Linked DNA regions of Canis lupus familiaris. The protein of the gene in region 3 binds, or shares a complex with, the protein of the main gene of each other region. Links are inferred from orthologs where the notes say so. Each region holds a gene or a part of one and is shown on either strand. Other genes may lie near its edges.

Region 1 (8,173 bases), about 26 Mb from region 3:
TGCACAAAATTCTGTTTGCCTCCATTTCTTTTCTCAAATATTTGCTTAGTCTCCAGGCAAAAGACTATTAATGCTTCTAAGCACTTTGGAGCCAGAAAAGCTTTAAAAAAAAAAAAAAAAAAGTTTACTTATGTAGGTTCATTATATCATTTCCATTAGGTTTTAAAAAACAGTGAAATCCGTCAATATTCTGGGGGACCTGGGGGCTGAGAACTGCTGCTTTTAGCTCTGAGTAAATGTGCCATCTGAAGGATGACTCTACTGATCAACAATTTCCAGTATTTCCTTCCTAGTACCTACCCCCCAACGCCACCATTTACTCTGTAGTACTATTCATCCTGTCTAACCCATTGTTTTACCAGACTGTCAAAGTAATATTTAGTTGATTTTAATTAATATTAAGAGCCATGAACTCTTGACCCCAACCCCACCATGATAAAAATGTCCCTGACACTGCAATATTTTATCACCCTCTGTAACATTTAGTACAAGCCAGACTGCCAGGCGGACTGTGACAGCTTACTCTATGTTTAGGGCCTTACTAAGTGCTTGACTTCTAATGCCTTGTAATTCAAAGCTCTGGAGGCAGGTATTCATGTGAACAATGTAAACATAAAGGAACCCAGTTGTTCAAAGACATTAAGTAATTTTGCTTAAAGACAAAACATCAGGAAGGAAGGAAGCCAGAACTCAAACCAAGTCAATCTGGCACCAGAGTCTCTGCTTTGCCCTCTCTGAATAAATGAAAACTTGAAATATTCTAATATTGAAAGTGACAATATAATCTCATTACCTGATGTATTGACAGCTGAATTTTGTTTTATTTAATATCACTTTTTAGAGAAAATCTGTTGTCTGTACATTGTAATCTTACTGCCCATTTTTAAGAAAAAATACTTGTGAAAAGGAGCACTGTTAGAGCATGTGTCTAATTTTTCATTCAGAAAGCAAGATAATTTGAGAACGTCTGAAGTCATTCTTCCCCTTAGAGACTCAACAATTCTCAGAGAATGTTCTGGGAATAAACAGAATCACACCAGCCCTTGGGGATGACTCCCCTGCTCTGAGGGGCAGTTTCAGGTGGTCAGCCCGAGGGTTCTTTCGGAGAACCTTAAGGCTTCTTGAGAAAACAATTCATGACTCTTAGGAGCCAAGAGTTCATGGCTCTTAATATTAATTAAAATCAACTAAATATTACTTTGACAGTCTGGTAAAACAATGGGTTAGACAGGATGGATAGTACTACAGAGTAAATCTGTGAGACATCTTTACAACTGCTGAAACAGGACATCTCGACCATACTGTTTTGCTCATGCAAGCATTTTAATTTTTAAAACCACTCTGAAATAAATAAATAAATAAATAAATAAATAAATAAAACCACTCTGAGCCAGGCATGACATAAATTTCCTGAAATTGGGTTCTAACAGCTCTTTTGCAAGGAGGCTAAGCGGGCCTTCGTACTCTTCCCCCATACTCGGAATGAACCAACAAAAAAGGCAATATTCTGGCCTTTAAATGACCCACGACCAAGAAAATAAAACATCAAGAGGAGACATCTTCCCACCTGAGGAACTGCACACAGAATGAATATTCAGATGGAACGCTGGGTTACAGCAGATTTTTCCTTTTTTGAGGCCAATAACAAAGTGTTAAAATATGCTGAGTACTAAGTATGAAATATAACATAGAAGTATCTGCCACAGAAAGGTGGCTAATGGCCAAAAAGTAAGTGTGTGTGTTTGTGCGCATGTGTGTATGTGTGTGTGTACACAAAATGTATCTAAGAGGTGTGACAGGGACAGCTCCCAATTGGAAAACATTTATATTTTTAGGAGTTGCCTTCTAGAAGCTGAGGCAACATAAATATCCTCCTAAGGATATTGGGAGATATCCAAACTGAGAAAATGTGTACAAATTTAAAATCCCCAGAAACAAACTTTTGTCTGAATTGTGTCAACGATAAGAATTCCCATTCCACTGTGACCTGAGAAACTTCGCTTTTTCAATTTATAGAATAAACTTATTACTGCAGAAATCACCTATTTCCCTTCAAAATAAGTTAAACCCAGATACAATTACTATGACAATGAGACCCTCCAGTGGCTCACTTATCTTAAGCAATATTGTTTTATGATAAACTTCAAGCACAAGAAAGGATAAGAAATAGTTTGGGTTTTTTTTTCCCCCTGTGGGAGAAGGGCAGGGGGGTAGGGAAGTAGCAGATTTTACCCTCTATGCTTTAATATTTGAGAATTCTCCTCCTACTCCCTTGAAGGTCCAGGAGACATATATGTGTTCTAATGCAGCTGGACAGACTGGTTTGTTCTTAGACATAATCAAATAGTTGACAGAGAAAATGGTGCTACATCTATGAGAACAACCTAACCGCGAATCCTAAACTAATCGAATTTAACAGAAATCATAGAGTGGTGTACAAGGATATTTCCAGTTTCATAGGTATCATGGTGTCATTATTTCTGGTGTGTTATTTTAGCTGATTTCAAATGACTCCTTGGGGAGAGAGAAGAAATGAACCGTGGGTCTTAAGAGAAGTTCACCCAAGCCAAACAGAAAAAAGTGGCGTGGATGGGGACAGATGCAGTGGTACCGCCCCAACGCACGTGGCAGCCCTGGTGTCGGGTCTAAGACAACAGTCAGCTACAATAACAAAAGTTATTGAGAAAAAGGAAAAACAAAGCACACCCTGTCCCATAGGGCAGGGTGATTTGTGGAGCGGAATCTGACCATACACTGAAGTTGTAAGGTTGGGGGCGTGTACAGTAGATACAGTCAGGACGCTCACTGCTAAAGAGAAGCATCTCTCAGCTCCGCTTCTCCCCTCTGAACCCAGAGGGATTTGATCTCTAATTCACTGCAGGAGCGCACTGGGAACTGCCATCTGAGTACCTACTATGTGCCTGGCGCTGTGATCTTCTCTCACAGGATGGACTCCAGGAATCACCAGGATTCCCGATGGAGGGGAGCACCTTCCGTGCTGGGTGACCCCGCTTTGCTCCTGCCACTCCAGACACCCACACTGCTTCAGACTCCGAGCCACAGCGAGGCTCAGAAGATCAAGGGACCAGTCACAGCAGCCTTTTTAACTTTGGGAAAACCCAATGCTCACTTCACTCAAACGTTGCAAAGTGGTGCCATGACCCTTTAGCTCTTGACTCACCAATTCAAAGAGCCACATCACATACAGCCCTTAAGCTGCCCACGGCATGATTCTGCGTCTAGTGCCTTTCCAGGTCCCCCCAAGCGGAAGACAGTTCTGGCAGGGAGTCTGGGCAAGATTACTATAATATTTAGCCTTTGTCCCTTCTTTCGCTATGTCTTATCATAGAATAAGGCACACGTGTCTGGGAAACTGGGTCCTTTGGTGTATGGTGGACTTGAGACCTGTCCTCAAAGGGTCCCTGCGGGACCTCAGGTCAGTGTAATCTGACCCAAGAAGCTCCATTTCCAAGATGAAGAAACTGAGATTCAAAGAAAGTAAAGCACGGTCCACTCTTCAGAGAGCAGCGGTAGGTTGGGTACAAACCTAATTCAACGCCATGCTTCGTGTCTCTGGAAGTTTCCTGGGCACCCAAACCAGCAGGACATGGGCAGAACTGGAGAGAACAGACTCCATTCCCTTAACCATTGGTGTGAGGATACAGATACACAACCACACTTCCTATCTGGGCCCGTAAAATGGAGAGAAGTGTGTCGGGACTCGGGAATGTGCCTTTGGGGTCTGAAACCATCATACAGCTTGAGGATATAATTATGTGTGGGTGCCTATGAACAGAGACCTATGTGAGTATACGTATGTATATTTTTATACACGACACGCTACTATTAAATACCATTTCCGACCACACATTTTGCCTAATTGCCCCGGAGGCCACGTTTTCAAAAGAAGAATCCCAAAGCGAGGTCAGGTGCGTCCGCCCTCACCGCAGCCCTTCAGAACCCCGGGGTGCGCGGTCCGTACCCCTCCGGCTTCTCTCCAAACAGCAGCGCAGAGTGAGAAGGAAGAGGAGGAGCCGAGTACTTTACACGAAATGTTAACTGTCAAGAAGTTCCCAGGAGGTGGCCGGGCCGGGCCGGGCTGGGGCTGGGGGGTGGGCTGAGCTGGGGGTGGGCTGGGGTGAGCTGGGGTGAGCTGGGGTGGGCTGGGGTGAGCTGGGGTGGGCCGGGCTGCGGTGGGGGTGGTGGGGGGTGCAGGACGGAACACGCCGCAGGAGGCCCAGGTGGAGGGCTGCAGGCTGCGGCTGCTCCAACCTGGGCCTGGGCCGGGCCGCCGATGCTCCAAGCGGGCAGCGCGCGCTCGCGCCCGGGACGCGCCTGGCTCGGCGCCCACGTCTGAGGCCAGGACCCTGCGCTCCCGCGTGAGCCCATCCGGCGCAAGCAAGTGGGAGAGCGCAGGCCGCGCGGCGGGCCCTCGGCGGCTCTGTCCCCACGCACGTGGCGCGGCTCGCGCGGGGGCACAGCGCGCCTCCCGCCCGCCCGGGGGCGGCCTCCGCCCGAGCGGCCGGCGCTAGGACCCCGCGCGCCGCGCACTTCCCCCGCCGCGGCGCCCGCCCGCCCCGCCCCCGCCCGCGCGCCCCGCCCCGCCCCCGCCCCCGCCCCCGCCCCCGCCCGCCGCCCCCGCCGCCCCCGCCGCCCCCGCCCTACCTGGCGAAGCAGTACTCGCAGTGGTTGCCCCGCTCGTTGACCGTGAGCACGTAGGCGTAGGCCGGGCAGGAGAAGAGCAGGTCCCCCACGTGGAAGGGCTGCAGGGCCCGCAGCCCCCGGCCCTTGCCCGGGCTGCAGAAGCGCTCCAGGCCGCCGTCGCCCGCCGCCCTCATGCCGGCAGCGGGGCGGGACCGGCGGGACCGGCGGGACCGGCGGGACCGGCGCCCCGAGCCGAGGCGCCCCGCGAGCTGTTATTGGAGAAGCGTCACCCAGAGCCGCGGGGAGGGAGGCCGCCGCTCCCCGGAAGGGACGCCGGCCCCGCCCGGCCCTCGCGCGCCCCCGGGGGCGGGGGGGAGGGGAGGGAGGAGGAGGAGGGGAGGGGAGGGGAGGGGAGGGGAGGGGAACCCGCCCGCGGCCCCGCCCCCCGCCCCTCGGCCGCCCGCCCCGGGCGCTTGGGGCGTCCCCGCGGGAGGGCGGACGCGGCCCCTGGTCCGTGCGTGGGCGGCGGGGGATGCACGGCCTGGGGGGGGCGGGGCAGACGGGCCGCCTGGGCCCCGCGCAGCGGACGGAGCTGTGTCTGCACCTTGTGTGCCCTGCCCTCGCCCGAGGCCCTACACGGGGTCCCCCCGAGAGGCCGAGGCCCTAGACGGGGTCACCCTGGGGCGCCCAAGACCCTACATGGGGTCCCCCCGGGCGCCCGGGAGAGGCCGAGACCCTAGACGGGGTCACCCTGGGGCGCCCGAGACCCTACACGGGGTCCCCCCGGGGCGCCCGGGAGAGGCCGAGACCCTAGACGGGGTCACCCTGGGGCGCCCGAGACCCTACACGGGGTACCCCCGGGGCGCCCGGGAGAGGCCGAGGCCCTAGGCGGGGTCACCCTGGAGCACCTGAGACCCTACATGGGGTCCCCCCGGGGCGCCCGGGAGAGGCCGAGGCCCTAGACGGGGTCACCCTGGGGCGCCCAGGAGAGGCCGCACAGTGTGGGATGCGCTGAGGGTTCAAGGGCGCCTTCCAAAGGTCAAAGGCTTGGAAGCCTCCTGAGGCTGCAGACCTTGCAGGAGTCTCCGGAGTATTCATTTTTTTTTTTTTTCTCCGGAGTATTCAGATGGGAACCTTTGCCCCTCTCGTGGAAATTAATTACATGGACAGAAGAGGAAAAGTCAGGTCAGCCTGGAGCACTGAGTCTCTGCTTTCAAGAAACTTCCTCTTCCCCGAGAAAACGGGAGATAATCTGGCCTTCAAAGAACTTAAACCCTTCCAGGGTCCCAAGTGCCATTGTGCAGCCAGAACCCTGGGCTGGAATTTGCAGTGGTCTTGATCCCTTGGACCCCTCCCTGTCATCTCAGGAAAGCTCATTTGGTTGCAAGTCACCCAGGATTTGGAAGGAACATGTGTAGCTCCTAGAATACTTAAGCCCTGAAGCCCATACACATGCATGCTGTTGGTGTCACTCCTCTGAGAAAGTAGGGTGTGATATCTGTGTTGCTACAAAGGATGGCAGTTAAGGACTGGAGCTGACATGTGTGCAGGAGAAACTTTTAAAAATGTGAAGGGAGACTTTAGCAGACAACACTTAATAACTAAAAACCCAAGTTTGATCTCAAATTAGGTTACAGGTGTAAATTCAGGACTAGTTTAGCAAAGGGAAAGATGAATACAGTTTGGAGGATATGTCGTAAGAAGAGTAGAATTTTTTGACTCCTCGATACAATCCCTAAAATGAAAAAGCCTGTAGCTTATTCCTGTCAAGAAAAATATAGCATGGATACTATTTCATTTATGGTTTTGAAGAAGCAGTCACTGAGTTCAGCCACTATGTGCCAGTCGCTGGGATAAAAAGATGGGACAAAATGTAGGCCTGAGTCTTTGCATTTGACGCATTCACAAGCCAATGATAATTACCATCGGTTAGTACAATGGGCCAATTGTGCAAAGCACACCAAGCACAGTGTCTCATGTATTCTGTAACTGCAGCAGCTCAGTGAATTGACATTAAGTCCCCCCTTTTCCAAAATTCAGAAACTAAGACTCAGAATCCCTTACAAGGCCTCAGTAAGTTGCAGAATTTGGTTTCAAATTCAAGTCCATCTGAGTGGAATATCCACGATCTTAACCCGGATGTCCCTCTGCATATAAACACAGCTCCCTGAGGAGTGCCCTTACTCCTTGAGAGGTGGCTTGTGCAAAGTATTCTGAGAATACAGGCAATGAGTGACAAACTCAGCCTGAAGAATGGCCAGGGCCTGTGCCACATTCAAGGAACATTTGAGCCTAAAAGGATGGGTGAAACTTGCCCAGGAAAGGAGTAGAAAAGAGTTTCCTGGGCAGAGAGAACTGCACACAAAGAGGGACTTAAAAGAACTGAGTGTGTGGGGATGCCCTATGAGTGATTCGGAGCAGAGCAGAGTTCTCAAGAAAGTAGGAGGTGAGGCAGGAACAAGGGAAGGATATGGTCTGGAGAGGTGAGCTTTGTGGCAAATGTGGTATGGCAACCACTGGAAAACGTTGAAGCAGCAGGGGTGCTGTGATCAATCCAGCGTTTAGACTGAGTTCTACTGGCAGCTTTGCAGATAAACTGTGAGAGGAGAGGCCTGAACACAGGCCCACCACTTAAGAGAGCATCTGCAGTATTTTTTTATTTTTTATTCATGGGAGACACACAGAGAGAGACAGAGACACAGGCAGAGAGAGAAGGAGGCTTCATGCAGGGAGCCCGATGCTCGACTTCGATCCTGAAACTCTGAGATCATGCCCTAAACCAAAGGCAGATGCTCAACCGCTGAGCCACCCAGACGTCCCACGTCTGCAGTATTTTAAATGAAGGAGGAGGAGAGTCAGAATCAAGGCAGTAGCATTAAGGAGAGGGGCAAAGGTGTGGGGGGAATGCCAGTTTCTTGCTTGGTATATGGCAAATGGCAAGCAGACAACAGAAGGTGTTGGCTTTCTGGCTCTGGCCTGATCAATCTTTTTTTTTTTTTTTAATTTTTATTTATTTATGATAGTCACAGAGAGAGAGTCAGAGACACAGACAGAGGGAGAAGCAGGCTCCATGCACCGGGAGCCCGATGTGGGATTCGATCCCGGGTCTCCAGGATCGCGCCCTAGGCCAAAGGCAGGCGCCAAACCGCTGCGCCACCCAGGGATCCCTGGCCTGATCAATCTTGATCCTGATCAAGATAGGAACCATAAATATCCTAGGATTTGGGGAATGAGAGAGGCATCTTCTTACTAATGAGGAAGATGAGGCCCTGTGAAATTAAATAGCGTAGGCAGAGCTAGCATGAGATTCTACAACATATTCATTCAACATTTAAATATTTATTGCATGGTTACTGTGTTCCAGCAGCAGTGAGAAGGACTGGTGACATAATGATACCAGAAACTGGCTTGTTCTGTGCCCTCACAGAGTTTTGTACCGTCTGGTGGAAGAAGATGATGTTAATCAGGTAATGAAAGAAATATAGTCAGTGGTGTTAAGTGCTAAGCCAGTGCCTAGGGGTTTTGACCT
Region 2 (6,734 bases), on a different chromosome or scaffold from region 3:
TATCTTTCTACATACATGTCTGAGAAGTCCTACAGAAACTCCGTTATTAAGCTCCAGGAATGAGCTTAGCTAAATTTGAGGAGGGTAGTGGTATTGTTCAATTCTTACCGGGTTAAGGTACACTTCACTTGTGAGTCTAGGCCCTTAGAATGTGTTCTCATAAGTATAGAAGTGGTGTTTGGAAGCTACTCTAGCCATCGGATGGCCACATCCTAGGTAGATAGAAGATATTCAGCAAACTAGGTTTCAGCAGCCTGTTTGTGGGTGAAGGAAAAAGAAAGGTTTGGTATTGTATGTATGGACCATGCTCTAATGAAAAACGTTCAGTAGTTGGAAGTTCAGTACCTTCTGACACCTGCTTCCAGCCCTCTGATGCATCTTGGAGTTTGAGACTGTAAATCCACAGTATCCAGATTATAATGGCCATATACTTGGCATTGGTCTCCAATTAGGTCTTGGCTACTATATGCCTAGCTTTCTGAAAATACACATTCATGTTAGGTTTGTGTAAGGAATGGGTGAAAAGCTGATCTTTTTTTGTTCCTCCTTCATTTTAATCTGTTGCTTGATAAGAAATCCTGTTAGAATCCATTTTATTGATCACAAGGAGGTAGATTTTTAAAAAGTTACGAATTATATTTGAAACTGTTGGATCAAGAAATGGCAGTATTAAATGGCTAGTATTTCTAGCTAAGCAGATTGGTTTAATATAAGATAGGTGGATTTATTCAAATCATCAGTATTTAAAAGATGTTAACTATTTCTAAATACTGACCCCAATGTTAAGTACCTTAGAAACTAAGGAAATCTGAGGAAAAAAGCTCAGCTTCAAAAATTTAAGATCAAATGTGATTTGGTCACCATTTCTAATCAAAGAATTGTGTGATGCAGCCAGTATCACTGTCACTGTAAGCTTACAGCTTAGTTCAGATGCGGCCAGAACCTGCTGATGCTTACAGCCTGAAATGGGGCAATTCCTGAAAATCTCCTGAGACCTCCCTATCACTATGCAAGTTCCAGTTCAGTAATGAAAGGGAAGGCAAAAGGATGGTTTGGTTTAGTTTGGCTAAGCTGTTACATAGTGTCTCTCTTGAAGAAAGCCATCTTTAGGGTGTATCTTTCTACATACGTGTCTGAGAAGTCCTACAGAAACTCCGTTATTAAGCTCCAGGAATGAGCTTAGCTAAATTTGAGGAGGGTAGTGGTATTGTTCAATTCTTACCGGGTTAAGGTACACTTCACTTGTGAGTCTAGGCCCTTAGAATGTGTTCTCATAAGTATAGAAGTGGTGTTTGGAAGCTACTCTAGCCATCGGATGGCCACATCCTGGGTAGATAGAAGTAGATAGAAGATATTCAGCAGACTGTGTGTGGACTGAAGAAAGCCATCTTTAGGCTTTCTTCAAGAGAAAGGCCAGCATGGGCCGTGGGACGAACACATTCTAGGTATAGCCTGGGGGATATTAGACCCCAGAAGACATTCTATTGTTTGAGAATTCTTACCTTAAGGACATCTCAAAAGTTTCCCAAATCGCTGGTGTGATTTTCTATGGCAGTTAGTGAGCAGCATGTAATAGGGTCATTTTGTTCGACAAATAGTAAAAGGTGTTACTGAGGGGGATATGTATACTGAAAAAATTCATCATCTTAAAAAGCTTGCAGCTTAACTAGGGAGATGAGACAAGCTGCTCAAATTAAAGATCCTGGCTGGAAGTGTTTGCCGATAGTCTACTCATACTTTATATCAAAAAGAGTATCTCAGGACCCCTGGGTGGCTCAGCGATTTAGCACCTGCCTTCAGCCCAGGGAGTGATCCTGGAGTCCCGGGATTGAGTCCCACATGGGGCTCCCTGAATGGAGCCTGCTCCTCCCTCTGCCTGTGTCTCTGCCTTTCTCTCTCTGGGTCTCTCATGAATAAATAAAACTAAAAAAAAAAAAAAAAAAATCTCATACTATTTTAAGGAGACAGCTGACAGGATAAGTGACTCTGGAGACTGACAATTCAACAGAAGTTCTTTGGGTAACTCAGGTCAATCTTCTGCAAAATGTGGGGTTTACGAGATGACCTAGGGCTTTTTTTTTTTTGTCTTGAACTTCATACAAAGGAAAATAACTTTATATGCTCTTCAGCCCAATCCACAGAGTTGGCTATTTTACATTTGGGTTTTTTTTTGTTTTGTTTTTGCTATTTTTAAGATGAAGGACGTTTTGTCAGGCTTGAGGAGGATGTGAATCTGGTAAAACACAGTTGTAATCATGGACTTGTGCTAGAAATCCAATGATATAATTTGCAGAAAACTTTAATATCTAAACTAATGGTATAGTAGAGTACACTATACTATCAATAGTCTCATCTATATTGATTAGTAAATGTAGTGAGTCAAGGAACTGTTTTAAAGAATATACCTAATGGATACCTGAACTACATACGTATCACCTGGAGATGCTGTTAAAATGCAGCTTTGGCACCTCTGGGGTCAGGCACCTCCCATTTACTTCCCGTATGCCTTCCCCACTGCCTATAAATCCAGTCTCTAAAGCTATAGCTTTTTTTTTTTTTAAAGGTTTTTATTTATTCATGACACACACAGGCAGAGGGAGAAGCAGGCTCCTTGCGGTGGGGAGCCTGATGTGGGACTCAATGCCAAATGGAGGCAGACGTTCAAACTCTGAGCCACCCAGGTGTCCCAAGCTATAGCTATTATTAACTCAAGTCTGAGAAATAAATATTTAGTTGCCCATATGTTAAATACTGAAACAGGATTCCCTGATGAGAGAACAGTCTAGTTATCCACGGGCAGGAGACCATGACTTCCTGTGACATGTCGGAGGAGACTTTGGTTGTCTTTCAGATGGGATTAGAACATCTCCATTCAGAGGACTGACTGCCATTTATCTGCACATGAAAGAGATGGGCTAGAAGAGCTTTATAAAAGTTTTTGGTATAGGTTTCCATCAATTTATTTTCTGTATTCCTTAAAAACAAAACAAAAAAAATCACAAGTTTAATACTAATGCTTTAAAGTACTGTACACTGAAAGGAAGCCGACTCTCAGGCTGCGAGTTGGTCTATGTTCTCTTTACTTCTGTTTGCCAAATGTTCTTCAATAATTTCTGCAAAGAGATTCCTCTTCAAAAGATTATATGCAAGAGGTAAAAGCTGGCCAGCAACTTTATGAAAATACTGAAAAATAAAAGAATGTAACATTAAGCAGAGAACATAGCAGATGCCCTAGTAAGTAGCAAAAAATACACAGAAAAAGCTGTTAACAAAGCACTGTCCAAATCATTTTAGCTACTTTCTCAATTGGTTAGGAAGTGAATTGACACATTCTGTTCAAGAGGCCAAACTTGTAGTTTTAAAAGACTTAATGGTACATCTTGAAGAAAATTCTGAAGAAAACTAAGTTATAAGTTAAAATTTTAAGCTTCCTTAATTCTCTTGGATAAGGATCATCATTTTTACCTTAAGGGCATCTTAAGGTAAACTATATGCTCAAATGCTTTTTTTCTTCTCTAGTGTTATCCCCAGTTAAGATTTTAATCATCATTTTCCTTAGTTGATACTATATGAAGAGGTATGCGGAATTTGAGTTATCAAGTCACATTTATTCCCTTTTATCTTCAAATTTTCTGCTCCCCAACCCACCATGTAACCCAGCTCCATCCCTTGTCACTGCCTTGGTTTTATCAAGTGACTTAGACTACTGCTATTTTTATATATACTTAAAGAGAACCTGGGAACGCTTCTGTTGATGACATTTAGCACTTACTAGATGCTCAGTACTGTGCTAAGTCTTTTCATATGTTGTTTAGTACTCAGGCCAATTATTTTCAATTAAACTGATTCAGTTTTTGGCAGGCCCAGCATTATTCTGATTGGTCAATGACTTATTCTAGCTGTTAAACATTTTGACTATTTTTTCTAATAGCCATATATAAGGCAGGCAGAAAAATATTGTAATATGGTCTACAGCAGAGTTCTCAAAATAGCCTGCTCTAATTAGCCTGACCTGGTAACAGGTCAGAAATCCAAATTCCTAAGAGTCCCCCAAGAACTCAAACCTTGGTGGGGGGGCAGTAGGGGTAAGTACACCAATCTGTTTGAATAGCCATCCACATGATTGTGATACATGCTGAAGTTAGCACCTGCTTTAGTCTTGCTGCTCACACTAGTCTACAGGCAGTAGCATTACCAGTACCCAGGAGTACAACAAATGCAGTCTCAAGCCTCACCCCAGATGCACTGAAGCAGTCTGCATTTTAACATTATCTTCAGATCTTTATATAGTTTACAGTTTGGGAATTACTGATTTAGACACTAACTCTGGAACTGTCTGCCTGTGAACCTGAGCAAGATGGTTTACCTCTTGTGCCTCGTAGGTGACCCATAGGTTAAATGAGAAACTGTGTGTGTGCGTGCGTACGCATGTCCACACACACACGCAGACATCTCAGCTAAAGGACCCAGGTACAATGGTGTTGGAAAAACGGCCCAATCTTACACAGCTACTAAGTGGGAAAGATGTTATTTAAAACCAAACAATGTAGCCTTAGGAACATGTTATAGACTCTACACCTTGAGGCAACCACAGTGAATAAGCACTGATTTAACTGTTAGGTAGGTTTTTCCTATTTAATAAGCAAAGGTCATGATGATTAAAAACAAAAACTATATTTTATTTTATTTTTTAAAAAATTTTATTTATTCATGAGAGAGAGAGAGAGAGAGAGGCAGAGGCACAGGCAGAGGGAGAAGCAGGCTCCATGCAAGGAGCCCAATGTGGGACTTGATCCCAGGACTCCAGGATCATGCCCTGAATCGAAGGCAGACGCTCAACTCCACCCAGACATCCTGAAAAACTATATTTTAAATAATTTCAATTAAAGCCTATTTTAAGATATAGTAGCTCCCACCTATTCACAAGGGATAGGCTTCAAAACCCCGAGTGGATTCCTAAAACCATGGACAGTACCCTATTTATGCTGTTTTCCTATACATATGTATGATAAAGTTTAATTTATAAATTAAGCAAAATAAGAGATTAGTGAGAACATAAGATAGCTTCTATTACAGTATATTGTTATAAGTGTTCTACATGAATGTAGTGGCTTTCAAAATATTGTACTAACCCTTCATATAACAGTGTGACATGATAAAATGCCTACATAGTATGATGGAGGTGAATGACATAGGCATTGTGATACAACGTTAGGTCACTATACTGCTCTTCTGACAGTATCTCAGAAGGAGGATCATCTAATTCTGGTCCACAGTTGACCACAGTTAACTGAAACCACAGGAAGTGAAACCATGGATAAGGCGGGGTAGGGGGCTGAAGGAGGTGGGGACTACTAGGTAGTATTTATTTTTCATCTAGGAATTCAAACAATAGAACAAATACCCCCCACCACCACAGCGGAAAGCCAAATGGAGCCCTATGAAAGTTTTATGTGCATACCCATACACACATCCAACTAAAGGGGCATATATATTCCTATAATACATCTAATAAGAAATTCACTTTAATGTAAACCTGAAGGCAGGCAAATAATCTTGGTTATTTACCTTTGGCAGAATACAAAGTTAATTTCAAATATTTTCAGACATCTGCTTATCAAAAAGTTCATTTGGGGAAAAAAAATTCATTGAACACACAAGCTGAATTTATATCCTACCCCTGCTATTGAGGGCATAAATATTCATATTCTGGTATGCCTGTATGTGGGGTGAAGTAGGGAAGAGAAGGTCTGGTGATGGCTGGGAAGTTGTTTGTTTGTTGTTTTTTTCTTACTCACGTGTGAGCCGTAACAAAAGAGATCCATTCCTAGCTCAAGCCCCATACCATAGTCACATTCATCATTAGCGAACTGCACAAAAGTCATCATTTCCTGGATGGGAGCAAAAGCTTTTAGTCTGTCCTCATCACTAGGTGCCTCAACGATGGTCTTGCAAATTCTCTTGAGGTTGGCTGTAAGAAACCAAGGATATAAAAAGATGATCTACACCCATCATCAAAGATAAAAAGATTCTAAGTTGGGTTTTTCCTCATCAATTTTTGTAACTATTGCAACAAATGCCACCTTGGGTGGTACTAGAATTTAAAATGGCAATTTATAATTTAAGAAAAATGGCTTAACAAAAAAGATTTGTGTATTAGCAAACGGTGACTATTTTACTATAGATATAGTTGCAATCACGATTATACATAAGCTTTTTAAAGGTTTTTAGTAGGCTAGTCCATAGATCAACAAACTGTGGCCAAATCTGACCCACCCTGTTTTTAACTGAACTCACAGAATGTTTTTCCATTTTAACTGGTTGGAAAAGAACAAAAAATACGGCAACAGAGATCATTTGTAGTCCATCTCTGGGCTAGTCCATATTAGGAGTTGGATTAAAACAAACAAACCCTCCAAAACAGGCCATAAAGTTTTCTCTTTATTGCCCTGTCCTACCTGTTGTACTAAAAACACAGAGAAAAAGACAATATAAGAAATAAGAGATCATTGCCAAATTAAATCTTAAATTTTTTTTTTAAATTTTTTATTTATTTATGATAGTCAGAGAGAGAGAGAGAGGCAGACACAGGCAGAGGGAGAGGCAGGCTCCATGCACCGGGAGCCCGATGTGGGATTCGATCCCGGGTCTCCAGGATCGCGCCCTGGGCCAAAGGCAGGCGCCAAACCCCTGCACCACCCAGGGATCCCGCCAAATTAAATCTTTACCAAAAT
Region 3 (7,605 bases):
CGGCCGAAGTCTGAGGACGAGGCGAGCCTGGGCTTCTGAAGCCCGCCGCTTCTGCCCTCCCTCGTGCTGGAAGGTTTGTCCTACATTGATGATGGCGCCTGGCGCGTGAGGATCATTTTAATCTATTTTTGTACAACATCCGCTCACTCTCGATTTTTTTTCTTAATTATGCAGAACTGTACCAGTCGGTGTGATTTCTGTACAGCGCATTCACTGATTCGGGGTTTGAAATAACACCCCCCCCCCCAACTTTGCAGGTTCTCCGGCGCCTTCCCACCCTGATGCATTTACAGCTGTCTGATTTGAGTAAAAGGCCGGAGGGGTGTCCTCGGGGCTTCTGGACCCTCTGGGGGTGCCCCGGTGAATTTGCTGAGGCTTCCCAGGCCGGGCCGTGGGACTGGGCGTGTGTCTGAGGGCTCCTACCTAGGCGGGGGGCTTCCTGCGTCCTCCAGCTGCCAGTCTGCTCCTGTCTACCTGTCCAGTCCTGCTCTTCTCCAACATGGAGCTCCTGTTGGTTAAGTTCAGTGCTGGTAGTCAGGGTAACTCGGTTTTCCCTCCCTGCAGTGAGGCAGCAGCATGTTTTAAGAACAACCCTGTAAAAAAAAAAAGAAAGAAAGAAAGAAAGAAAGAACAACCCTGTAGACTTTACTGGGTTTTCAGTTCTAACCAGGTGGAGCAGAGTGGGTACCAAATGCCAAGTGGGGTTAAAGATGGAGGATGTTGTTCTGGTATCAGAGCCAGTCTAACTCGCACCTGCCGTGCAGTACTTCCCTTCAGTGAACACCAGGCGTGTCAGGCACCGTGTTAGGTTCTAGGGCCTCGGAGACAGCCTTCTGCCCATGCAGCCACCAGCTCGGTTAAATGGAAGATAACTGGGAAATGTGGCTGTAGTGAGTGGAGACCACCCAGGATACCTGTGCACCCACCAGGCGTTGAGGGCCTGGGGTGAGAGCTGGATAGGGGTTCTTAAGCGCAGGAGTAGCAGGAAGTTGAGGTTGGAGAAGCCGACCAGGTCTTACCATCTGCAGAGCTAGATCTGCCCCTGAGGCTCTCCAGATCTTACACCTGAATGTATGGGTCGCCTAATCTGAAGCTCTCCCCTTAACATTGTTGACTATCATGAAATTAACATTTTAAAAATAATAATAAAAAGGAGAAGCTCCCTCGGTGCCGGGGCTCTTAACCTAAAATCTGAGTTTAGAAGAAGAGAAATTTATATCTCTGTAGTCCCTAATCTCTCTCTCTCTTTTTTTTTTTTTTTTTTAAGATTTTATTTATTCATGAGAGAGAGAGGCAGAGACCCAGGCAGAGGGAGAAGCAGGCTCCATGCAGGGAGCCCGAAGTGGGACTCAATCCTGAGACTCCAGGATAACACCCTGGGCCAAAGGCAGGTGCCCAACCACTGAGCACCCAGGCGTCCTAGTCACTAATCTCTAATCTCTAAATAAACTTCATTACTTTCTCCAGTTATGAATGTGAAGGCAGAAAAGCAAAAGCAGTACCTATGGTTTTTGTCACCAGTGGAAATTACAGATATTTTCATATCACTGTACGTTTGTTGGGGATATCTCAAAACATCCATTACATTCATCATCATTCAAAGTTGCTGTAGTTGCTACAGTGGGCACTAAATCTTGTTATTTTATGCTTTAGAGCTCACCATTACCATATTTTTAAACATTTTGATAATTCAGTCTAACTGCTTTCTTCTGTGAGCCTGTGTATTGTATTACTCGTTTTTAAATTTTATTTGGAGAAAGACGTATCCTTAGGCTTCACTAATCATCCAGAGAGGACCTTCCCTGATCAGGAAGGACAGACAAAACCATAGTAGAGCCAGTATATCGAATACATAGGGCTGGCCTGGTGTTCCCAGATCGTGAAATAAATGAGTTAAAGTGGTTTTCTGTAACTGTATTTGGGGGTGGAGTTTTAATTCAGAATGTAAAATCTGGTCTTTGTAGGCAGAGCTGGAGGCCTGAAAGAAAGAAGCCATTCTTCTCCCTCGGGGTTCTAATACCTTCTTTTACATTTGTATGGGCGGATTGTTCTCCAAGTGTCAGATACCTGATACTTTAGGTGGTGTGCCCGGGGGCAGCCTCCAGGGGACTAACCAGGCCTTGTAGCTTCTTGACCCTTGGACCCTGGGTTCTTTTGTGTTGGGCGGGCTTGCTGTGGGGTCACACACACTGTTAATGGTCATTCCGTGCTCTCGGTGGATAGGTGGGCAGTGGGATGGCCTGTTCTATGCCGAAGGAAATAGTGGCTGGGCGAGGACCTGGTGTGTGTTTGCTGGGTACACAGAAATTCTTCTGCTTACGGTTGCCAAGTGGAAGCGTAGCCTTATGACCTTGTTCTGGTTTCCTTCCTGCCATATCCTTGTGAATCCTACATTCTAGGGTAAGGCCTTGCTTTGATCAGGGGTCCTTGCTCTCAAGTCCCTCAAGCTGCATGCCCTTGGGCTGCACCTCTTGGTTGCCCCACGCTGCACTGATAGTTGGGACACAGCACCCACACCAGAGGTTAGGGGGCAGGTGCAGGGACCCCACCAGAGCCAGGAAACCATGCAACAGCCACAAGGTCCAGTGTGTTCCCTCCCTTTGTGCGAATGTGACCTGAGCGCCGCAGAGGAGGGGCAGACGAGGGACACGGAGGCAAAAGGAGCCCAAGTGCCAGTCTCTGCAGATGTACAGCAAGGTGGAATACGCTTCGCCTGCCTTGTTGGAAGTTTGAGAGCTGAAATGCAAGTCCATTCTGAAATGCCTTTTTGGGGGGTGGGGGCACCATCTTTTGTTCTGTTGGGAGGGCATCTTTTCCAGAGCAGGACTTCCCCCATCCTTTCCCTTTCTTATCTCCAAACTTGGGGTGTTCCACACTCTCTCTGTGTCCTCTATGAGTAGGCATTGCATGATGGTACCAAGGTGGGCATTGTTGCCCTTCCGGGAGCTTCCAGCCTAGTGCAGGACATGGACATTGAATAATGGCCCAAATGGATCCTTCTTAGCAAGGAGGAGCTTGTAAGGAACCTTCTGGGGAGATGGGAAGGTGCCACTTGCTCTGAATAGGGCAGTGGAGCATTCAGGGCCCAGGGAAGAGCTATTGTGCTGTAAACCAGGCTGCTTGATGCTAGGGAGTCCTTGAAGTACCCTGGCCTGAACCCTCCCTCTGCATGTATTATACTGATTAAGAGGCCACTCCCAGCAGGAGGGGGCTTGGTGGGAGAACTCATCACTGTTTTTCCAGAATATTTCCCCTGTCAGACTGTTCCATCCAAAAATTTGTGGTATTTATTTTTGATGCTGTTTTAATGCTTTTATTCCATCTGTGTGGCATTTAGCTTTATTTTCTATAAAGGCAGATATTTGGAGCCTCTTCTGCCTTGATCAGAACCGTTTGTGTAAAAAAAAAAAAAAAAAGTTTGTGTGTTTCGGTAGCTCTTCCTGCCGAGCAGAGTAGTGGACTAAAACTTGGTGTCGGTGCAGTCAGGCTGAGTCACTTGCCGCAGACATCTGTGGACGGGGATGCTGGTTGCCACCCAGAGGTAGTTGAAGGTTACGTGTGATGGCTTGCGAAGAGGGCCAGGGACCAAGTAAGTGCCAGCATTAGCCCCACTGTGCCTGGTCACCACCACTGTGCCTTCTCTGAAGCCAGAGGTGCTAGGGGCCCAGGAGACCAAAGGTGACACCACACAGGGAGAAGAGCCTGGTGCTGTGGAGTCAGCAGCCTGTTGAGTATGAAGCATCAAAGGAAAGAGGAAGTCCACCATGAGAGGGGAAGCACCTTTCCCCCCTGGCCAGACTTCCCAGAGGCCAGTGAGGGAGCTGATAGTCTGGCTCCAGGCCCTGGGGACTTCTGTCATCTGCTCCCCAGACCGCCAGCTTGACACTGTTTCCTGACACAGTTTCTCTGCCTTGCTCATTATTTGGGACTTGTTCCTCATTATTTTAACTGCAGACGCACTAAGGGAACCCTTTCTGGGCCACACAGGCCCCACAGGGGCAGCAGCGGGGGTCCTGTGTGCATTCCAGGATGCTGGGAGGGAAGTCATGTCACTGAAGCGTGAAGCCTGTGGTTAGAAGGCCTCTGGGGCTAGGTTCTGTTTAGAAGCTCCCCTGTTCCCATCTGTGTCCCATGTCCTGAGAACAGACTCCCACCTTCAGCAGACAGCTGTTGGGGAAGATCTTGAGAACTGTGGACTGGGATGCATTTTCTCACATGACACGGGACAGGGCCAGCTGCCAAGGGCTGGGCTTGAGGCTGCTCACTCATCTCCCTCTGTTCTCTCCTAGTCACCCATGTTCGATGGAAAAGTCCCACACTGGTACCACTTTTCCTGCTTCTGGAAGGTCGGCCACTCCATCCGGCACCCTGACGTGGAGGTGGACGGGTTCTCTGAACTCAGGTGGGATGACCAGCAGAAAGTCAAAAAGACTGCGGAGGCTGGAGGCGTGACAGGTGTGTATGGACCTGGGGGCAGCAGGTGCAGACCCCCAGTCCCACCTGGGCAGCTTCCCTGGGGACCTCTTCTGGGGGGTGGGGAGCCCTTCAGCTTTGTTACCTGTGATTTCGGCAGCACCTCCTTGGCTTGCCTATGGTAGGCTGTTTTTGTTTTTCAACGAGTTTTCCCATTTACCTCCTGCCGCCACACAGGCAGGGCCTCTCCCTCTGTCTCCCTCCACAGCGGTACATGTGTTCAAGTGGACCCTTCATTATCACCCCAGGTCCAAGGTTTAAGGATTCACGTGTGGTAGTGTACATTGTATGGGTTTGGACAATACACAATTGACCTTTGAACAACATGGGTTTGAACTGGTCTGCTTCTGTCTAATCTTCAGTAAATTCAACACTACTATAAATGTGTTTACTTAATAACATTTTCTTTTTTGAGGTTTACCTTATTGGGAGTTCAATATTTAATACTTATAACAAAGGATGTGTTAACTGTTGGTTATCAGTAGGGCTTCCCGTGAACAGTAGGCTGTTAGTAGTTAAGTTTCAGGGGTATTGTGGGGCACCTGGGAGGCTCACTCAGTGAAGCATCTGCCTTCAGGTCATGATCCCAGGTCCTGGGATCAAGTTCCACATCAGGCTCCCTGCTCAGTGGGGAGTCTGCTTCTCCCTCTGCCATTCCTCCTGCTCACACTCCTCCTGCTCACACTCGCTTGCTTTCTATCAAATAAATAAAATCTTTTAAAAAAAAAAAAGGTTTCAGGGGACTCAAGTGACCCATAGGTTTTCAGTGCACGAGGAAGGTCAACATCCCAACTCCCACTTTGTTCAAGTGTCATCTGTATTTGGAGTCATTCGTATGTAGTCTCTTCAGATTGGCTTCTCTACTTAATAATTAACAGGCATTTCAGGTTCCTCTGTGTCTCTTCGGGGCTTGATGGCTCCGTTCCCTTTAACCCTGAATAACATTCCATTGTCTGGATGGACCACGGTCTGTTCGTTAGGAAGGATATCTTGGTTGCTTCCAAGATTCAGTAAATGCAAATAAAAGTGCTGTGAACATCCGTGTGTAAATTTTTGTGCAGACTTAGGTGCACATCCATGTGTAAATTTTGTGCAGACTTTCATTTGGATAGAAAGCAAAGAGCATGACTGCTCATCCTCTGGGGAAGCGTAGGCTTCATTTTGTAAGAAACCCCGCAAACCAGGGGCAGCCCCGGTGGTGCAGCGGTTTGGCGCCGCCTGCAGCCCAGGGCGTGATCCTGGAGACCCTGGATTGAGTCCCATATCGGGCTCTCTGCATGGAGCCTGCTTCTCCCTCTGCCTGTGTCTCTGTCTCTATGAATAAATAAATAAAATCTTAAAAAAAAAAAAAAAGAAAGAAAAGAAACCCGCAAACCAGCTCTCTAAGCAGCTGTACCAGTTTGCATTTCCATCACTCCCTCACTAGCACTTGGTATGTCTGGGTTCAGGATTTTAACCATTCTGATGGGTGTGTACAGGTGTCTTGAGTTGGTTTGCAGTCCCCTAATACCCTACAATGTGGAGCATCTTTTCGTGTGCTTATTGCCATCTGCATCTCTATTTGGGAAAGAGTCTGGATATTTTGCCATTCATCTTTCATGTTCTTTCCTTGAGTTTTAGAGTTGTTCATGTATTTTGGATAGTGGTCTTTTGTCTTTTGCAGATGTCTTTTTCATGTCTGGTTTGTTTCTTCTCCCATTTTCTTGACAGCGTCTGTTACAGAAGTTCTCAGTTGTAAGTTGTAAGATAAGTTCCAGCTTATCCATTATTTTTTTCCTGGCCTGTGTCTTTACTGTTGTATCTAAGAGTCCTCACCACACCTAGGTCAGCTAGATTTTCTCCTGTGTCACATTCTGGGAGTTTTACATTATGGTGTTTTCCTTTAAGATCCTGATTCGTTTTAAGTTTTGTAAAGTAGATAAAGTCTTAGTCTAGATTTATTGTGTATATGCATATGTCCAGTGCCAGTACCACCTGTTGGAAATTCTGTCTTTCCTCCATCGTGTTGCATTTGTTCCTTTGTCAGATGTCAATGACTGTGTTGGTGTGGGTATATTTGTGGGGTCTTTTTATCAGTTTGTCTATTCTGCCAGTACCATACCGTCGTGATGACTAGTTTCATGGTGAATCTTAAAGCCAGATGGTGTTAGTCCTCTGACTTTGTTTTTCTTTTTCAAACCTGTGTTGGCTGTTCTGAGTCTTTTGCCTTCATATGAACTTGAGTCGGGGCGCTGGGAGCTGGGAGGTCAATGACATGGCTCACTGTGAATAAAAACAGCAAATTCGCTAAGAAAGGGTCCAGAGAGTGAGCCTGTCCATTTTAGCAGAGGGCAGGTGTAACAAATTTTTCTTATTCTGTGGTCGTTTTTCCCTTTTGTGTTCAGGTTAGTGGGGGTTGTCTTAGGACTATGTCCCATCTAGTTATAATTTATGTGTATCAAATTATGTAATTTTATAATAGGAAAGGCACAGTAAGTTTGCTATAAACTATTTTGTTTCTGAAAACCTCAGAAATCAAAGTTAAGATAACACCTGTTAATTGTCCAGTGATTTTTGTATTCAAAGAGCCTAATTTAATCACAGAGACACACAAGAAGTTTCCATCTTCCTAGATCCTGTAATTCCAACTATCTTTGGCGTTGTGGGGTGTCTCCCTATTTGAAATTTTCTATTCCAGTATTGATTCACATGTGTGTCACTTTTTCTTCCTGTAGAAATGGGATTCTGCCTAAGTGTTATTTTGTTAAAATGCTTCTTGTGTGTGGTGAAATACACATACCATGAAATCCACTATCTTAGCCAAGTTTAAGTGTGGGCTTCATCACCATGAAGCACATTCACACTGTTCGACCATCACCCCACCCACCTCCACCTCCAGAGTGTTCTCATCTTCCCAACCTGAAACTCAGAGCCCAATTCACAGTAAACGGCCCCCCTCCCCAATTTCGTGTCCCCCTGCTACGATTTCTGTCTGTGAATGGGACTCTGGGTGCCTCTGTGAGTGGAATCATACAGGGTTTGTCCTTCTAGGATGAGCTTATCTCACTCGACATCTGTCCTCAGCTCTGTCCGTGGTATAGTGCTGTGGCCGCTATCAGATTGCATATACCTGCAACATGGATACATCACTTT
Region 4 (7,605 bases), on a different chromosome or scaffold from region 3:
CCTGTGAAGCCTGGCCAGCCAGGAGACAGTCCTGGATCCGCACCATGGCTTCCGCCCGCTGCTCTTCTACTGGCACTTCTGAGGCCGCATCAAAGGGAACCACAGAGTCCAAGCTGAGGTCGGGATCCTAGAACAGGATTAGGGCTATGGAACAGGGGAGGGAAACCCAGATGTCCTATTAGTGCACTACCCATGGGAAAGGTAAGGTTTTTCCTACTACCTACCTGGGCACAGCATCGTAGCTGCTCAGCCAGGGACGGCCACACAGCCTCTAGTTCACCTGCACTATAGGGGACATGATCAGAAGCAACAGGCTGACCTACGGCCTTCTTTTTCTTCTTTCTCTTCTTTTGTTTGTTCTACAGAGAAAGAACTATTGTCATGATGGCAGGAAAGCTAAGAGGACATTTTCCCATCAATGTCTTCTCTATTAATTAATTCATTAAAGGTCTGAATTAATTAATTCAATAGTCACAGAGTGAACACTGTGTGCTATTCATAAGCAGTAAGAAAGCAACAGTGAGAGTGAGTGGTATATTTCCTTGCCCTTGAGGAACACACAGTCCAGTGGAGGAGACAGGTGAGTAGATAAGTAAAGTATATTACAGTATGGATAAACTTAGAATACGGCTGGGCATAAAATGCCACGGCAAGGGACACCTGGGTGGCTCAGGAGTTGAGTGTCTGCTGCCTTCAGTTCAGGGCATGATCCTAGAGTCTCCGTATCGAGTCCCACATCGGGCTCCCTGCATGGAGCCTGCTTCTCCCTCTCCCTCTGCCTATGTCTCTCTCTTTCTGTGTGTCTCTTGTGAATAAATAAAATCTTAAAAAAAAAAAAAAAAAAAGCCACAGCAGAACAAAGGAAAAGTACTTGACTTATTTCTGGGGGTCAGAGATTTCCCAAAAGCAGTGATATCTTAAGCAGATTATAGAATGAACAGGTTTGTTATGAAGATACAAAAGGCTTTGTAAAATGCATAGCACTACGTAAACATAATCTGTATTGTTTTTCTCCTGAAAAGCAGGAAAATGAGAGTCAACACCCCACCCTTGTTCCCTAAATCATGACTGAACCAGTTATGGGTACAGACAAATAGGATGGACTAGGAGGCCCTTGAGGTTCATGCTCTATTCAAGAAACTCAGAATTTAACACATCAAAGGTTAGGAGCATGAGCTTGGGAGTCCAACAGATCTGGATTTAAGTACTGACTCTTCCACTAGCAAGACCTCAAACAGGCTGCTTCTCCACTCTGTGATGTGTCCTAGTCCTACTGTGAGGATTACACGAAAGCCTTATTAGCACAGCATCTGACACAGTCAACACTCAATAAACAACAGCACCTCTTATTTCTGATAAAACAATAGTCTTGAATTAAAAATATCTTTTAGTAAGGTCTCACTGGTACTACTGTCTCTTTTAACTGCTGTTCTCACTAAATTTTAAGCCACAGCATATAGAATACAGGAAGATTTTTACAAAGCAGAGTGTCTCTGTCTGTAGGATACAAATTCATCGAGATTTTCTTCTTGTCTTAGACTTTAACATTTTATTTTATTTTTATTTATTATTTTTTTAATAACATTTTATTTTTTCATCACTGTGAAGCGTACTCTTTAATCCCCATCCTCCCACCACCCTCCTCTGGTATCAATCAGTTTGTTCTTTAGTAGTTAAGAGTCTGATTGTTGGGGATCCCTGGGTGGCGCAGCGGTTTGGCGCCTGCCTTTGGCCCAGGGCGCGATCCTGGAGACCCGGAATCGAATCCCACATCGGGCTCCCGGTGCATGGAGCCTGCTTCTCCCTCTGCCTGTGTCTCTGCCTCTCTCTCTCTCTCTCTGTGACTATCATGAATAAATAAATAAAATCTTTAAAAAAAAAAAAAAAAAAGAGTCTGATTGTTGGTCTGTCTTTTTCCTTTGTTCATTTGTTTTGTTTCTTAAATTACACATGAGTGAAATAATATGGTATTTGTCTTTCTCTGCTGACTTATTTCGCTTGGCATTACTATCTCTAGCTTCAACCATGTTGTAAATGACAAGATTTCATTCGTTTTTATGGCTGAATAATATTCCATCACACACACACACACACACACCATTCATCTATCAATAGATACTTTGGCTGCTTCCATAGTGTGGCTATTACAAATAATGCTACAATAAACAAAGAGGTGCAGGTTTTTCTTTGAATCAGTGTTTTCTTATCTTAGACTTTTATTTATTTTTTTAAAGGATTTTATTTTTAAGTACTCTCTACACCCAATGTGTAGCTCAAACTCACAATCCCGAGATCAAGAGTCACATGCTCCACTGACTGAGCCAGCCAGGTGCCCTTGTCTACAACTTTTTATTTTTTATGCCATTTCAGGCTCATATTACAATCTCATCTTTAGGGATCTGGGGACTGATATGAGCAGCTTGAGTTATTCTAACAGTTACTAATATAGGATGAGATTCCAGACTTTCTGGCTTTTTATTTAGGGTGTTTGCCAGTTCACTATAATGCTACTGAAGTATAACCAAGAAGGATGATGGCATAATTACTAAGGTCTAAAATTACAAATCCCCAGAGTTGGGCAGCCCGGGTGGCTCAGTGGTTTAGCGCCGCCTCCAGCCCAGGGTGTGATCCTGGATATCTGGGATTGAGTCCCACGTCGGGCTCCCTGCATGGAGCCTGCTTTTCCCTCTGCCTGTGTCTCTGCCTCTCTCTCTGTGTCTCTCATGAATAAATAAAATCTTCAAAAAAAAAAAAAAAGATTTTATTTATTTATTCATGAGACAGAGAGAGAAAGAGAGTGAGAGAGAGAGAGAGAGAGAGACGCAGAGACATAGGCAGAGGGAGAAGTAGGCTCCATGCAGCGAGCCTGACGTGGGACTCTATCCCGGGTCTCCAGGATCACACCCTGGGCTGAAGGCAGGTGCTAAACTGCTGAGCCACCCAGGGATCCCCAAATAAATAAAATCTCAAAAAAAAATGAAGATACTAAAAAACAAAAAAACAAATCCCCAGAGTTTATATGCTTTGTACATACTACATGTTTTGTAAATGTTTCCTGAGTGAATGAAGATATTTATGTTAGACTGGAGATTAATTTAATGAAAGAAGGAAACTACAGTAGACACACATCAGCAACACCAATAAACCTCTTGCCTTCCTTTGTTCAGAGTAGTTTTAACAGGTCAGCTTAAGCTGCAGAAACGTTGAGGTGAGTTCCTTGGTCTCCACCCTTCCCTCACGGCTCTTCCCACATTCCAGGGCTGCCCAGTACCTGTACCACCAGGTTCCCACGGCTCCGACAGAACCGCTCCAACATCTTGAGGAAGAGGTGGGTGGTTTCTATCAAGTCACGAAGGAAAGAGCGCGGCTGGCATCTCTCATCAAACTTTCGAAAGAGAGCCAGGAACAGTTCTCGGTACTCCATCACATAGAAGATATTGTCTAGGAAGAGAAAGGAATGGAAGGACTGGTCTGGAAACTTTGGGAAGGGGAGGGGAGACTGGAAAGAGTGATATTGTGGTCAAGAGATGAGAAAGGCCAGGATTAGAGACAGGCCAGGGCCTCACTCTTGATGATGCGGCTGCTATCCCTCACAGCCTCATCTGGGGACATGTCCATCTCATTCACTGTGGCCAGCAGCTCCTGATAGGCCTTCAGGGCCAGGTGCATCCTGTAAGATGAGGCAAAGAGGAAAAGTGGAGGACAATTTAGAAAACTGGCTCAGGGAAGCAGTACCCCTCTCCCCCCTTCCAAAAAGACAGTGCCATCAACACAACGACCCAGCTGGTCCTTGCTCCCCAGTCTGACCACCTTAATCCTGAAACAAGAAAGAAAGTACCACCCAGAATCCAGTCACTCATGACTGCCCAAATGCACACTCTGACCCCAATTTTCGTCCCACTCACCGACGTGCCCAGGAGGCAGCTTCCTTGCGATCAGTCAGCATCATCTCATAGTAATTGGTGAGGTTCTGCTCAATGAAGTGGAAGGTACGGACACTGAGGGTCTCAGAAACCAGGCCTGGCCGAAAGGAGGCAGCTCGGTTGAAGGCCATGAAGAAAGCCAAGGCCCACATGTAGTAGGTCTCATCATGTTGCTGAGCCTTCTCCCGCAGCAGGTAATCCTAATGTCCAGAAAAAAAAGACCACCCCATGACCCCAGGGTTTCCAACTTTCTCCTTGTCCTATGATGATAGGATAGATGATAGGATAGACCCTGGACACCATTACAGCAATATTCTAGGATTCAGAATTTCCAGCCCTCTCTTGTTCTCCCCAGGTCTCTCCCCTTCCTCTGGGGAATTTCTCCAAGCCCCCCCCCTTTTTTTTTTTTTTTTAAGATTTTATTTATTTATCAATGAGACAGAGAGAGAGAGAGACAGAGACAGAGAGAGAGTGAGAGAGAGTGAGAGAGAGGCAGAGACACAGGCAGAGGGAGAAGCAGGCTCCATTCCATGCAGGGAACCTGACAAGGGTTCGATCCCGGGATCATGCTCCGGGCCAAAGGCAGGTGCCAAACCACTGAGCCACCCAGGGATTCCCCTCTCCAAGCCTTTTTTAAATTGTCCCAGTGACCTACCCCCTCCCAACATCCTCATGTCTCAAGGGTGCCCTATACCCTGCCCAACTACTAGTCCACACTCCAGGGTTAACCCCCCCCAGAGCCCTCCCCAGTTGCCCTTCTTCCCCACCACTGGCCCCATCACCTCTCTCTTCCATCCTTCCCAGGCTCTCACCTTCACCGAGCCCATGAGCCGGTTATAACAATTCTCCAGGAACTCAGAGCAAAAGTCTCTGAGGAACAGTCTCACATTAAGGGCAGAGCGGCGCTGAATGGACAGCTCCCGGGCAGCTTGGCGACGTTTAGGCACCCTGCGAGGCTGCTTCCCCAAATCTGAACTGTAGTTTTGGAGCTGAGGGTGTGGGTCAGGGGATCAGAATTACTCCTCACCACCACCCTCCCCTTGCAGCTCTTTCCACATCCTTAGTGCTAGAATTTCCTCAGAAGAAACTCTTAGAAGGCTCACTTCCTCTGGTACTAAGTGAAGATACAAGTAAAGACAATAATGTCAGAGGCTCTATTTCTCCTATTGTCTCCAACGTTCTAAGCCCCAGAACAAAGATGCTCTACTTCCAGAGATGCTTGCTTACCTTTCTTTTTTTTTCTTTTTTCTGATTTTATTCTTAAGTAATCTCTATACCCAATATGGGCCTGGAACTCGCAACCCCGAGATCAAGAGTTGCACGCTCCACAGACTAAGGCACCCAGGCGCCCCATCTGCTTACCCTCCTCCGGTACCGTCAACTCCACAATGCTCCCACCCCACGTGGGAAGCATACTCACATTGTGGAGACCTTTGTGAAAGATGAGGTCCCTCTCCCCAATGGATTTCAACCCCTGGACAATGTAGGAGCCCCCAAATCGAGAATGCCTGTAGTAAAAAAAAAAGGAAAAAGAAAAAGAAAAAGAAAGAAAAAGAAAAAGAAAAAGAAAAGAAAAAGAAAAAGAAAAAGAAAAAAAGAAAAAGAAAAAAAAAAAAAGCCCAGAGTGATTCCTCAAATCTCTGGAAACTTTATCTCCGTTCTCTTTCATTAGCACATCAGCGTGTTATGACTACAGAACGTTACCCAGTCACCACTGTCCTAGCCTTTGGCCCAAGTCCTCAGTGGGAAGGTTCCATACTGGAGGGATGGGAACATGGCCAGGGCACCTCCCGGTCACGTACCTGTTGCCTCGCTGAAGGGCTCGAGTCTTCTTTTCCGCCATCTCTCGCTGGCGCAACATCTCCAGTTCCGCCACATCTGTGCTCCGCTCCTGCGCTAGGCGTCCCTTTCCTACTCCTGCCAGCTGTTCAGGGTTCTAGATTTGGAACAAGGAGGAGAGAGTCAGAAGGACAGTCATTCCTTGTTCTAGGTTCAGTCCTAGGAGGAACAAAAAAGATGAAGGAACTAGGACTGCTGGAGGTGCCCCGTACTCAGGACATGGCTACTCTGTCTGCCACCCACCTGCCCCAAATAATTCAGCCATTATTTTAAGAGTGATTGTGGCTACACGGCAGAGACGTTCATAGGTGAAGAGCCTAGGGAAAGAAGCCAGGTTCTCACCTGGTCACGAAACATAAGCGAGATGATCTCTAGCACATGCAGACTCCACTGCTGCTCCGCAGGCGAGCTGGCCAGAAAGAGAAGCAGGTCATCCAGGCCACTGAGGTGAACTGCCCAGAGAAGCTGGTCATGGACACTGGCATCATCGTCGATCCTCTGAGCAGTGAGTGATGAGGGGAGGAAGAGAGGTCATTCAGTTCCACTGCCCTCCCCTGACCTTCTCCAATTCATTCCTTGACCAAGTTTCCCTCTCTTCCTTGTTGGAGGGCAGAAAAGCAAAAAAAAAAAAGGGGGGGGGGGGCGAGAGGGAGGTGGAGCACAACCTAACCAAGCATAAGAAAGCGGACAACCCAAGAACCTCTCACCTTCTCCTGATCAAGGTCGGTTGGAACATGGAGAATATTTCTGACCAGCAGCAGGATCCGTTCAATCAGCAAGTTGTCTTCCTCCTGCCGTTCCTCCCAGCCCTAGTCAGAAGGACAGTAAGAGGAAGAGACTCCTTGCAGAAGGCAGGCGGCATCTACTCTGGCTAGAGGACAGAGGCCCAGAGGAGAACCAGGATTAAGAAGGAAGAAAAGAGGGACGCCTGGGTGACTCAGTGATTGAGCATCTGCCTTTGGCTCAGGGCATGACCTGGAGGTTCCAGGATCAAGCCCCACATTGGGCTCCCCGTGGGGAGTCTGCTTATCCCTCTGCCAGTGTCTCTGCCTCTCTCTCTGTGTCTTTCGTGGATAAATAAATAAAAATCTTAAAAAAAAAAAAAAAAAAAGTAGGAAGAAAAGAGTTCAAGCAGTCCTGAGGCAGCCAGAGACAATGGATGGGACTCTGTATTGCAAGGACTGGGACCGTATCTCCAAACTCCACTGTCATGACAATGACCATCCTGGCGCCCTGCCCAAAGGAGGAGCGAGGCGCTAGCAGTCCCCTGGGATCCTGGAAGGTGGACACCCACTCACCAGCTGCAGCAGCTCATACAAAGTTTCACTGAGGACTCCAAAAGCCTTCTCACTGGCAAAGGCCTATAACAGAGGGGAATGGATCCTTAAGTGGCACCCACCCTCTCCATCCCTACTGCCCCCAGCTTCGGCCCCAGGGACCCTGAAAGAGAAACTCACCTCTTTGTAGGCCTGCAAGTAAGCTAACACCTGCAGAAAATGGTGCCGTAAGCTAGGCTCCTTGGGCACACTGCCGAAACAAAGCAAGGCTGGTTGTGTCAAGTTCACCATCAGCCTGGGGAGACAATGAAGGAGGGAGAAGTTATTCAGTGTTACCAGGGTCAAACGCCAAAATCTATCAGCTCAAACACCAAGGGTTGGTGCATGGTAAAAGTTAAAAAGCTGGGGAACCAACCTGATAACAGCATCAAAAAGAGGCTTGTCCTGGCGGTGTTGGGTAAGGATGGGCAGAAGGTCGCTCTGCAGGATCTGGGCTGCCCCCAGCTGCTGCCGCACATCACGAGTGTCATCCTCATGCCTCAAGTAGCGGATCAAATCCTTCACGC

What was found.
Region 1: the proteins of PARP1 (region 3) and SMYD2 are in contact, whole or in part, in a crystal structure (PDB 9CKC), measured with the Homo sapiens proteins. The link is inferred for Canis lupus familiaris from reciprocal best matches to the Homo sapiens genes PARP1 and SMYD2. Residues at the interface, in NP_001609.2 of Homo sapiens: Thr526, Leu527, Lys528, Gly529, Gly530, Ala531; in NP_064582.2 of Homo sapiens: Thr105, Leu108, Val179, Asn180, Cys181, Asn182, Gly183, Phe184, Thr185, Glu187, Leu191, Ser196, Ala203, Met205, Tyr240, Ile241, Asp242, Ser257, Tyr258, Asn380.
Region 2: the proteins of PARP1 (region 3) and HPF1 are in contact, whole or in part, in a crystal structure (PDB 6M3I), measured with the Homo sapiens proteins. The link is inferred for Canis lupus familiaris from reciprocal best matches to the Homo sapiens genes PARP1 and HPF1. Residues at the interface, in NP_001609.2 of Homo sapiens: Thr825, His826, Asn827, Ala828, Arg865, Met890, Lys903, Asn906, Tyr907, His909, Ser911, Gln912, Gly913, His934, Lys953, Ser983, Leu984, Leu985, Tyr986, Glu988, Thr1011, Ser1012, Leu1013, Trp1014; in NP_060337.2 of Homo sapiens: Asn234, Val236, Asp261, Arg264, Leu265, Phe268, Gln272, Glu273, Thr276, Phe277, Gln279, Phe280, Asn282, Asp283, Glu284, Cys285, Tyr287, Tyr304, Lys307, Val308, Gln311, Leu315, Leu319.
Region 4: the proteins of PARP1 (region 3) and TIMELESS are in contact, whole or in part, in a crystal structure (PDB 4XHU), measured with the Homo sapiens proteins. The link is inferred for Canis lupus familiaris from reciprocal best matches to the Homo sapiens genes PARP1 and TIMELESS. Residues at the interface, in NP_001609.2 of Homo sapiens: Gln846, Lys849, Pro850, Phe851, Leu854, Arg878, Ile879, Ala880, Pro882, Asn928, Lys940, Lys943, Gly944, His946, Tyr992, Asp993, Ile994, Ala995, Gln996; in NP_003911.2 of Homo sapiens: Asp1036, Gln1040, Pro1043, Val1045, Pro1046, Leu1047, Thr1048, Glu1049, Glu1052, Glu1053, Glu1056, Ser1074, Gly1075, Gln1076, Glu1077, Thr1078, Phe1079, Arg1081.

The regions. Positions count from the first base shown.
Region 1 is NC_049228.1:12,140,573-12,148,745, reverse strand, and holds the start of SMYD2 (N-lysine methyltransferase SMYD2), read right to left. Parts: upstream 4,955-8,173; 5' UTR 4,839-4,954; coding exon 4,666-4,838; intron 1-4,665. UniProt on the Homo sapiens protein: Protein-lysine N-methyltransferase that methylates both histones and non-histone proteins, including p53/TP53 and RB1. Specifically trimethylates histone H3 'Lys-4' (H3K4me3) in vivo. The activity requires interaction with HSP90alpha.
Region 2 is NC_049246.1:20,715,443-20,722,176, forward strand, and holds the end of HPF1 (histone PARylation factor 1), read right to left. Parts: intron 5,972-6,734; coding exon 5,799-5,971; intron 3,184-5,798; coding exon 3,052-3,183; 3' UTR 2,930-3,051; downstream 1-2,929. UniProt on the Homo sapiens protein: Cofactor for serine ADP-ribosylation that confers serine specificity on PARP1 and PARP2 and plays a key role in DNA damage response.
Region 3 is NC_049228.1:38,453,660-38,461,264, forward strand, and holds part of PARP1 (poly [ADP-ribose] polymerase 1), read left to right. Parts: intron 1-4,289; coding exon 4,290-4,455; intron 4,456-7,605. UniProt on the Homo sapiens protein: Poly-ADP-ribosyltransferase that mediates poly-ADP-ribosylation of proteins and plays a key role in DNA repair.
Region 4 is NC_049231.1:1,031,959-1,039,563, forward strand, and holds part of TIMELESS (protein timeless homolog), read right to left. Parts: coding exon 7,455-7,605; intron 7,335-7,454; coding exon 7,220-7,334; intron 7,124-7,219; coding exon 7,061-7,123; intron 6,572-7,060; coding exon 6,470-6,571; intron 6,261-6,469; coding exon 6,105-6,260; intron 5,860-6,104; coding exon 5,726-5,859; intron 5,432-5,725; coding exon 5,344-5,431; intron 4,913-5,343; coding exon 4,736-4,912; intron 4,124-4,735; coding exon 3,906-4,123; intron 3,671-3,905; coding exon 3,567-3,670; intron 3,442-3,566; coding exon 3,272-3,441; intron 360-3,271; coding exon 225-359; intron 128-224; coding exon 1-127. UniProt on the Homo sapiens protein: Plays an important role in the control of DNA replication, maintenance of replication fork stability, maintenance of genome stability throughout normal DNA replication, DNA repair and in the regulation of the circadian clock.